Coturnix japonica: one gene and its partner. The protein of the gene in region 1 purifies or fractionates together with the protein of each later gene. This does not show direct contact. Links are inferred from orthologs where the notes say so. Each region holds a gene or a part of one and is shown on either strand. Other genes may lie near its edges.

Evidence for each region. Proteins that work in one complex are often made in the same cells at the same time.
Region 2: the proteins of STX18 (region 1) and USE1 purify together in Homo sapiens (co-immunoprecipitation; 4 studies listed by BioGRID and IntAct, counting the BioPlex papers as one, with this or other methods). This does not show direct contact. The link is inferred for Coturnix japonica from reciprocal best matches to the Homo sapiens genes STX18 and USE1.

Annotation. Positions count from the first base shown.
Region 1 is NC_029519.1:71,389,472-71,395,145, forward strand, and holds the start of STX18 (syntaxin-18), read right to left. Parts: upstream 3,673-5,674; 5' UTR 3,611-3,672; coding exon 3,449-3,610; intron 1-3,448. UniProt on the Homo sapiens protein: Syntaxin that may be involved in targeting and fusion of Golgi-derived retrograde transport vesicles with the ER.
Region 2 is NC_029543.1:3,206,835-3,212,144, forward strand, and holds the start of USE1 (vesicle transport protein USE1), read right to left. Parts: upstream 3,550-5,310; 5' UTR 3,496-3,549; coding exon 3,394-3,495; intron 3,176-3,393; coding exon 3,126-3,175; intron 2,323-3,125; coding exon 2,244-2,322; intron 1,889-2,243; coding exon 1,736-1,888; intron 1,468-1,735; coding exon 1,449-1,467; intron 776-1,448; coding exon 745-775; intron 556-744; coding exon 393-555; intron 1-392. Other genes in the region: MYO9B (unconventional myosin-IXb), read right to left, coding at 3,975-4,420, 4,561-4,688, 4,954-5,093.

The DNA.
Region 1 (5,674 bases):
TCCCATTGCATTTTCAAAAACCAGCATTTCATTCCTCTCCAAAAACCTTTTAAAGGTCCTTTCCCCTGCTGTTCCTTTAACCTACTTTTTTAGTTTCTACCCTCCTAATTTAACTTATCAACTCTTTTAGCCTGAGTTGCTTTCTAACAAGGATGGAGGAAATGAGAGGCAAAAAAGCAATTTGCAGAGAGGAAGAGATAAATCTGAAATAATATAGTGCACTATGCTGTACCTTCCCATTTGAAAAAGTATAACTTAGAATACTGTTTTCTGCCTAGGAAATAGGAAAGGGAATCCCAGGTGCATGCAAATGACTACAGCATGCAGCCCCCAGTGAACACAGGGCAGAACTGAGTGTTCAGCATGATACAAGGGAGACGTCAGCATGAGTTCCATGACCTCAGCTATGGGACCAATTTATTAGAATTTGCCTCTCATTAAGAGCTAAAAAGTGAGCTGAAATATCACTTGCTGTTCAAAATTTGGCACAGTCATTAATTTCTAATAAGGACTGTAATTGGCTGTACCGTAAGCAATATATATTTCCCTGGCATCCAAATATTCTCTCGTGGGAGTTATTCTTATGTAGTAGTTAGAGCCAGAATGATCGTATAAACTAACCTGAGTAAAGCAGGTTTGGAGTTTTTCAGTCTGCTCCAGTATAAAACAGAAGAAATTAAAGTGTTCAGTGTTAACCAGTTTTGGCTTGCAGTGCTATTAGAGTCAGCCACTCAGCTACACATGGAGCAACTCAATGATGGCCATGCAGACTGACTTACCAGCTGTGTTCTGCCACACACTTTAATGTTAGTTCTCAGATATGGATGTTCTGGAGATTGTTTTCATAGAATCATAGAATTACCCAGGTTGGAAAAGACCTTGAAGATCAAGTCCAACAGCAGCCTAACCATAGTACCCTAACTCTAACAACCCTTTGCTAAATCATATCCCTGAGCACCATATCCAAACGGCTCTTAAACACATCCAAGGATGGCAATTCAACCTCCTCCCTGGGGAGCCTATTCCAGTACTTAAATACCCTCTCTGTAAAGAAGTGCTTCCTAATATCCAACCTAAACTTGCCCTGGTGCAACTTGAGGCCATATTCAGGTTTTATTGAGGTTTTATTCAGGGCTATTCTAGACCTGGCAACTGCATGTCCTATCCTATTAAAAAGGTTAATACAGTAAGCAGGTCTTTTCCAATCTTGGTGATTCTTTGATTCGGGTTATTTTATTTTTTTAACTGACATTTTCAACAAGAAAAGAAGGAATACTTGATCCAGTAATTAACTGGAAATTGGCAGGTGGTCTTGAAAAATACAATATTGTTGGATTATTAAAGATGTTTGTATAACTGAAAAAAGTCTGAGTGCTAATACTGACATTCTGGTTTCTCTGGCAAGAGAACAAAGCAGACCCAGCTTTCACTTGACTGTCTCCTTTTCACATGTAAAGGCAAATTAAACAGTGCTATAACTGGGGCTGTGTGTTAGTTGCTAGTAGGGACCAGGCTAGTAGGCACCACATTTTTCTCCACTGTTTTTAGCATTTTGAATATTTCTTGGTCTTCTAAAAACTCAGATGTAATTCACTGTGTTCTGAAGCCACTAACTTGAACATGGGGATTTTTCCTGCTCATTATAGAGGACGAAACAGCACAACCAAACATATTCTTGATGTGAATATGGGCCTATTATATGGACTAAAAAATGAAATAAAATATAAAAGAATTGATCATTCTACAGAATACAGAGAAAGAAGTTATATGAAGAACAGATGTTGTAGCCCCACGAATCTGGCATTCTTACGCGTTCAACAGCTTCAATCACAGACATTCTATCATTCTGAAATCCTGCATTTAAAGGCTCAGAAACTATTAACCTTTCAAATTTTCCCTTCTCAAGGACATGCTTTCAGATACTGCTTTTGAAGAATTTAACTTGTAGCACTTAAATTTTCTAGCTGTTTGCAAGAACATTAAAAACCAGATAATCTCCCTAACAAAACAGAAAAAAAAAAAAGTAATAACTTTTGGTTGGAATCAAGCCCGTTGTGAGATTCAGCTTTGCCACTCATTGCATTTCTCTTAATAAGCAGTATCAACCTTAATTTCATTTCTGTAACACATACTGAACAGTCAGCAGTGATTAAATCTCATCCCTTCAATATTCTCAAATAAGTATATATTTGACAGATGATCTTCCTAATAGCTTGTACTTGCCATAAAAAGTAAAGCAGATGGCTTAAATAAGATTGTCTAAGACAGTGCAAGTGCCAACCTGTTGGTATAAGACTACGGTAAAGCTGAGAACAAGTGTCACATAAGCTGGTCCTATGTGATATCTGTACTGGTTATATATTGGTATCAAATCAGATACCAAAACCAAGTTATTATGCAAGTCTATAGAAGTGTGATTGAAACAATCTTTAATACCCACATTCACTGAATGCAAAATTGTTCTGTCAAACTATTAGTCCAAGGACAATAACCAAAATTGTTTTTGTTGACCAAAATGCACTAATACCCAAACAGTAAATTCTAACAGCATTTCATAAATGTGAAGCAATGGAACGTCCATCACTGTATCATTGGTTTCTTAAGGGCCAAAGGTTCCTTGCCATCCCTTGCTCAGCCCTACACTAGCACGTGTGTTCTGGAAGTCTGTCTCCTCATAGAGAATCACAGAGCACACTGAGCAGGCTGTTCCTCCCAGCTTTTCCAAATCACAGAATGCCTTAGGTTGGAAGAGACCTTAAAGATCACCCAGCTCCAATCCCCTCCCCATCCATGGGCAGGGCTGACACCCACTTGAGCAGGCAGCCCAGCCAACCTGGCCTTGAACCCCTCCAATGTGCATTCCAGTGCCTGATTAAGGGCCTTACTCAAACCGTGCTCTGACACCACTATCCCCCCTCCGCACCCTTTGCTCAGTACGGGGGTAAAGAACCTGCAACAAGTTTACAATCATACTTAGTAATATTATTAACGCTGATCAGCCTCCAATTCAGCAATTCCTTCGCCTCTCAGTGCTTGTCTCTCCAAGCTGTATGACACCCCAGTTCATACGGACCCGGCATATACGGACCCGCCATACCGTGTGACACAAGAAACAGATGTGCAATAAGGCACAACTCGGCACTACAAAGACTCGCCCACTCGTTCCGGAGCCGACCTACATGGCAGCCCAGGGCTCGTGGGCACCGAGGGGACGCGGCCATGGAAGCCCGGATCCCCAGCCTGGAGTTACGGGAGCCGGGTGCGGGGGGTGGGGCTGGGATCCCTCCGGCCGCCACATCAGCTCCGGCTCCCGGCCCACATCCGCCTGGGGCCAGCGCTGCCCCGACTCTCTCTGCGGCCCTTCAGGAGCCACTCTCTCGCCCCGGCTCCCCGGGGAGGGCTGCCCGCCGCCTTCCCCCTGCCCCGGCCGCCCGCTGCCCGCACTCACCACCTCCCGTGCCCGCCCGGTGAAGTCGCTCCTAGAGCGGGCAGCGCTGCGCTTGAGCAGCTCATCCCGAGCGCTGTCGCCAGCCGCCACCCCCAGCGCCTTATTGCGGGTCTTCACCGTCTTCACGCTGGCTTTGAAGAGCAGGGTGATGTCCACCGCCATGGCGGCCAGCCCGGCCCCGTCCACCGGTGCCTCCGCGTTTTGCCTTCCCCGAGCAACGCGGCCCCGCGCAGCGCGTTCCGCTCGGTCGGCTCCAGGGATGGGTGCGGTGGGAAGGGAGCATCGCGGTGTTGCTGTGCGGGGATCCTGCTCTGCTGCCTCCCATCGCGGAGCGAAAGATTGAGGAATAAAATCTATATTCCAGCCAAATTCTGACGTGTGGATCGCCGAGCTGTGGTGTCGCGGCAGGTGTCACCAGGTGGTGCTGTTAGACAGAGTCATCCAAGCCGTCGGCCTTGGAATTCAGTCTAGGAAAGAAGGGTTAATTGGAGTTGATTAATGGGCTTCAGCAGGTTTGCACCAGGGGATGGGTTTTGTGCTGCTGTGAAATTTCCATTGGAGATGGCCGTACGTGTATTAATATATTGATTATTGGTTATTTCATAGAATCATTGAGGTTGGAAAGGACCCTTAAAGGCCATCTAGTCCAGCTCCCCTGCAATGAACAGAGACACCTACAGCTCCATCAAGTTGCTCAGAGCCTGTTCCAGCCTGAGCTTAAGTGTCCCCAGGGATGGGACAGCCACCACATTTCTGGGCAACCTCTACCAGTGCCTGACCACCCTCACTGTAAAAGATTTTTTCCCTATATCCAATCTAAATCTCCCTTATTTTAGTTTGAAATCATTTCCCCTTGTTCTTTCACAACAGATACTGCTAAAGAGTCTGTCTCCTTTCTTACAGCTCCCATTTAGATACTGACAGGCCACCCTCAGGTCTCCCCCAGGGCCTTCTCTTCTATAGGCTGAACAGCCCCAGCTCTCTCAGCCTGTCCTCATGTGTTCATGTAGGCCCACAGCTTGAGTCTTTCTGGGTCTCTCTGGAGTGCTATGTTTCTTCTTGAACACAATAGATAGAACAACTTCAATACACCTGTAATGTGTGTAGTGATTTCTGTGCCTGTTAAGGCCCTTGAGATCTACTGCCATTCCACATTTGGTCAGTATCACTGGTACTCCAAGGACAAACCCTGCAGGGAGCTACAATGCACAGCTATTATTAATTTGACTGAATCAGAGGAAAGCTTTCTGAAATACCCTTTGCTATTATTTTAGTTGTGGCAATTTCATTACCATGTGCTGTGCAGAAGATAAGTGACTGGAAAGGAAACTGTGTGGCACAGCAGTGAAAACTTCTGACCAAATAACTAGTGGTGGTAGTGAGTGTATGCTATATTATACTTTAGGATCCCACAGACTTTGCATGATTTTAACTGCTCTCACTGATTGAAAGTAACCTCCCTGAGAGAGTCTCCAAAGAAAAAAGAATAAAAATCCTGCCTTTCCCCATCAGTCTGGAATTTAACCAGCTCCTGCTCCAGAATATCAAGACTTCTGCTGATAATTACTACATTGCTTTCAGTTCACTTCAGTCTCAGCAATAGATTGTGAGTTCCTTCATAGCTGCATTGTGATTAGTATTCATTCACACTCCGTTCTTGTTGTTCTATTCTAAATCATGTTTTATTGCTCTATGGATATGCATTTCTAATTAAACATACAGTTGTTAAGACATTATCCTCGGTGCTGGATTTACCATGAAATATATTTAAGTATTAGCAAGTGTACAGCCAAAGAGGTTAAGATTTCCATTCCAGGAAAGCCAGGAGGATTGGACATCCAGCCAGATGTCTCTGCTCTTTCAAGATTAACTTTTAACTAAAGACATATTTTATAAAGATAAGATTTAGACAAAATAAATCAGATATTCAGGTATATTTCCAGAAATTGGTTTTCTCTTTCCCTTTGTATTACACAAAACAAATTAAGCACACAAGAGAAAATTCCAGGAATATGTCATGGATTGCATTGATACCCACAGTCTGTAATTCACTTGTGAATTTCTGCATGTTTACTAATGCTGTGTTACAACAGAACAGAACAAACTAGGATAGGATAGAATAGAATAGAGTAGTTATTTGAAAAGGACCTTTTGAAAGATCATCAGGTCAGACAGCCTGACTGCTTCAGGGCTAACCAAAAGCTGAGGCACATGGTCAAGACGAGG
Region 2 (5,310 bases), on another chromosome or scaffold:
GACTGAGATCAAATGCTGCTGACAGCCTGAGCAGTAAGGACTCCCTTATCTCATGGGGATGACTGCACTACCTGTAGGTAAGTTGTGAAAAAAACAAGGTCCTAACAAATAAATTCATTTTAAAGAGTTCCAGTTGTCAAAGTGAAGCACCAGCAGTCTCAAACACATAATTTACAGACAGAACACCTTCAATTCTGAATTCAAAAGCTCTCATCACCAGTTCTTCCAACAGAGAAAAGGTTCACAGCTGCATGGCAGAAGCAGACAGGCACTGCCTGCAAATTTCCCCTCATTCTAACCTCATCTGGAAGTCTCAGCTTTTGTTTCTTACATATGAGCGACTTAACCTCCTAGATTGCAACTGAAGAGTTCAGCATTGTCACACACGCTACCTGGTTGTCTTGCTTTATCACGTTCTGAGCAGCCAAAGTGTTGTTTTTGAGACTGCGAGCCAAACTCAGCATTTCCTCCGCTAACTTCTCCTGCATGTCTTGATGGTGCTGTAACACAGCATCCAGCTCCACTGCTGACTGCTTCTCATCAGACACAAGGCCTCTGCAAGAGCACAAGGAAAGAAGAATAGGGATTTGTACTTATGGGGAACCACTGGGAGGTCAGCTCAGGTTGTACAACTCTGACAGAACAACACGCACTTCACCCAAATGGGAACGTATCTGTGATTTAAGGTCATTGGGAAAGGCAGTCCCAAGGCACGGAGCATCAAAATAAGGAATTCTGACTTACTTCCGCTTCCTTACATTCAGCTCCTCAGAATCTGGAACAAAAATAAATGCTGTTTTAGCATATTACTCAACACTGCACAATCACAGGCTGATAAAACAAGTTCCTTGAAAGATTTTCTTTCCCAGAGATGTAATCCCAGTTGGCCTGGTTCTACACCAGGGAACGTGGATTTCAAACGTCTGTTTTCCACCAGGAAAAGACAGTACATAACAGCAAACGTTTGGTTGGGAGAATAAAACACCTGAGATGAATCACTTCCCTGAGGGCTCGGCTTCGCCCATGGGCTGTGCTGTTCTCTTCCAGGACACTCAGACTGGCCTCATTCCAGCCACTGTTACAGTAGCTATGGAAACCACAAATTAAATCCTACCAGTTCCCTACGTGAATAACGTGGCTGTATGTTAGCTCCTGAGATCACACGGTTTGCTCACAGCAGAAGAGAACGTTGGCAATGACAAACACAAACCCTCCTTGCTAATGCTACAATTGAAACACCTGTTTCAGCATGAATTCCTGCAAGTCTCCTCTGCTGTACAGGTAACACTGCTCATGTTCTCACCTATTCAGTGTTTCTTTTATATCTTATATCTTATATCTTGACAAGAAGTGAGTCAGTAATTTAGAAATACACCTCTAACACCTGACTTTCCTCTTTCTTTACTCATAAAATTCAGGTCAATTAAAGAAAAGGAGATTGAACTTACCACTGAGAGCCAAGGGATCCTGGGAGGCAGGAAGAGAAACAAAAGAAAAGATTACAAAGGGCCAGTGAAAAGGTTCATGAGGAACAATCACATGGAATCACAGATTCAAGGGCCTCCATGCACAGTATGGCACCTGTGCCCAGTATTTAGGTTATCCATAGGAAAAACAAAAGGTGACTCCACCCCCAGCCTAGGATGTACCTGAGGCACAGCCACCAAAGGCAACCAAATGTCATAAGAGACCATCTATAAAGTAATAGTAGAGAAGCAGCAGCACCAGAACATACTGTACCAAGCAGCTCACTCCTCATCTTGCCTGTGCAACGAGCCTTGGTCTGCAGATGAACCGTTTTGGAAGCTGGGGTTCTCTCCTTGATCGTAGTAGGAGTACGCCCAGGGGCTAAGAACTGATTTGCCAGTGCCTTTTCAGTTGATGAAGACTGTAAGTAAGAAGAACCAACGAGAAAGAGTCACAAACATCATTCAGTAGCGTAAGGCCACCTGGATGTATGGCCAATGAGGATTTAGGGAGCACTTCCACAGCTGCTGGAATGGCTGTGGAATTTTGCAAACTACAGCTTGGAGAAGGAAGGAAGAAGTTTCAGACTTCACACAATACCCTCTTTCAACAAAATACAATATATTTATTCACTCTTGTCGAGAATTGCCTGATAAGATTTTAACAAGTGTTATCTTGGGATGTAAGATAAAAGCAAGCGTAGGAACAAGGCAACAAGGAGAGTTTAAGAGGAGAATATCTCTTAAGTTTTTCCAAGGTAAACTAACATATCTTACCAGTTTTTCAGCTTCCAGAAGTCCCTTTAGAAAGTCTACTTTACGTGTGTATTCATTGAGCAGTTCTGGGGCAGGCTTGCTATTAGAATTGGGAAAAAAAAACATGTGAAAAGCAGTAAAGCATTACCAATTTCCATTGTTTAGAAAAGTCTTCAAATCAAATTAATCAACGTGGGCTTTTTCAAGAAAGAAATAGACTCAAGTTGGGAGCATACCTGCACCCCCTCAAACCACCTTGCCGAGGCACTGTGACTGCAGCAGCTCAGGACACAGCCAAGCAGAGGAACACTGTGCAGAGCCGAGGCTGACAAGGAGAATGAAGCGTGTATGTGAACATGGCACAGCTGTGCAACTGCCTGATGCACTCGGGTCAGTGCAACCCCAGATACGTGAACAGACTGGGTGAAGAACGCTCTAACAGCGGCCCTACCGAGGAGCTGTGGGTGCTGGTAGATGACAAACTGAATGCAGACCAGCAGTGTGTGCTTACAGCCTGAAGGGCCAACGGCATCTTGGGCTGCATCAATGGGGGATGGGAGGGGTGGCTCAGGGCATGGAGGGAATTGTCTCCCACTGCTCTGCTCCTGTGAGGCCCCATTTGGAGGACTGTATCCTCCAGCACAGGAAAGACATGTAACTTCTGGAATACATCCACAGGAGGGCCACGGTGACACCAGAGAGCACAAAGTATGGTGAAGGAAGTAAGGCTCTGAGGAAACCTCACTGTGGCCTCCCAGTACTTAAAGTGAGGCTGCAGACAGTGTCAGGACAAGGGGGAATGGTTTTAAAACCATCAGAACTCCAAGATATCACACAGGGAGGTTTTTATACTAATAGGGCAGTGAGGCCCCAACGCCACGATGTGATCCTGGCAGCCCTCACCTGCACTGCTTCTTCAGCTCCCGCAGCATGTCCTCCAGGGCGGCCACGTACTGAGAGAGAAAGGAGAGAGAGAGAAAGGAGTCAGCATTGCGGATAGATATTAATATTAATCCCGGCAGAAGCCGCAGCACGGCTGACAGCGCAATGGGGTTTAACGCCCTGACACCGGGCTACCTCTGTTTATTCCGAGGAGCAGAATGATGCTGCTGAAGGCCGAGGGCTGTTCCCGGCCAGTCCCTCCCCAACACAAGGCCGGGCCGCCCCTCACCTTCTCCAGCCGCCACTCCTCGGGATCCCGCCGCTCCGCCGCCAGCGCCTCGCACCGGCTCAGCAGCCGGATCAGATTCAGCTCCAGCCGCGTCGCCGCCATTGCGAACAGCCGGCACCGGAAGCCACCTCAGCACCGCTTCCGGGCGGCGCCATCTTAGGGCGGGGCGGGAGGTGATGGAGACGCTCGGCCGTTGTAGGCGGGGCTCCCCACACAGCACAGATACAGGCAGATAATAAACGTCGATAAATAGACACAAACTTTGGTGTATTTTTTTAAAAAGTGCAATGTATTAATGAACATTTTTGTACATTTGGTCTCAGTTAAGGCTATTACAACACGAACAGTTCTGTAAACCGCACAAAGTCGTCATAAAAACATACAAAATTAAGGCAACGTACACTGACCCACACTCACTGTTGGTCCCATTAAAGTCCACTGTAAGGCAAATGGAAGAAGGCACGGCAGCAGAAACGGGACGCTATTTTTTCTTTACCTGTACATTCATGAATAAGTTCACAGCCTTCAAAGCCTTAAAAATCTAAAGTCAACTTCAGAAAGATCCAGACAGCTTCAGTATTTCACTTCTCCGTACACACAAGGTGGGAATAAGGGTCTGAAAACCTCCGTTTTACTTTTGCTGTTGGTTCATATTCATCTAAAAGTTCCTGAGGGTGGGTCATTGCAGACCCTTGTGCAATGTAGATAGAGTGGACTTTATCAGTTCGTATTGCTGGCTGCTCCCTTCGTCTCACCACTATTGGAGACTCTTCATCAGCTGAAGCCTTGCCCTGAGATTCGGTACATTTGAAAATCCCAGGAGGAAGTTTGATGTTTGCTGTTGGCATCACTGGAGTTCGACGGGGCACCTTAATCTTGGACAGTGTAAAAGACAATCTGCGTCTTGAAGCCAGGGATGCAGACAAAGAACTTGAAGAGGTTTGCAAAAGAGAAGGCACTGTGCAAATGTCTTTGGCAGGCACGTCAGAGCTCTGAGCGCAGCACTGGACTCCAGAAATCGTAATTCCTTTAAAGAAACAATACACTGAAAGCATGCATAAGAATGTAACGTGATACAAGCAGGTGTGACCAGGTAGCATCTGGTCACCTGGCTCGATGCAGTGAAATATGTAGAATAAAAAAAGCACACACTACCTTAATACTGACCTTCGGTATCCATCCGCCCCGTTCTCTCTTCTAGCAGGCTCTCTGTGCTTGCTGAGGTCTCAGAGTCTACATTTTCCTCATCAGAGCCTCGCTGATCAAGCTCAGGTAACCGATATGTTATGTCTTCCCTACATCAGGACAGAAAGAGCACTTCTGAAATAAACGCTGCTTAAGGTTGCTCCTATCAGAGGTAAACCTTCCTGCATATAGTCATTAAATAATAATTCTCAAAGTATTTTCTCTCATCCTGGCTTTTACATTTTCACCTTCATAAAGGCCTGTAGAACATAATGAACTAACTGTAGATAGTTTTGGACAAAAAGCATAGTGCTTTGCTGTCTGTATTATACCAACCACAAAGGGCACAACAGGGTTTTTAAGGCTATGACTTACTTTTCTTCTTTTATTGACTGTATCCGATCAATGAGAATCTCCTTTTCTCGGTTATCAGCTTCAGAAACTTCCTCTTCTTCATGCAGAGAGCCCAGCTCTGAATTGCCACTGTCATTTCCTTTGACCTGTGGGCTTTTGCTCTGTAAGACAGATTTATGACTCAGTCCTAAACACCTACCCATGTCCTGACTAGCTACTAGCTGCAAGGTGGAAGACAAATGAGCAGGACAGTTGAAGGGCTTGTGGATGGAGAGCTGTTAGTCATACAAATGTTTCAAAGGGTAATAGATATATTTTTCCTACTAATCTGATTTGTGGTATTGTTACCTTTTGTGAAGTGGTTGTTTGATTTACCAG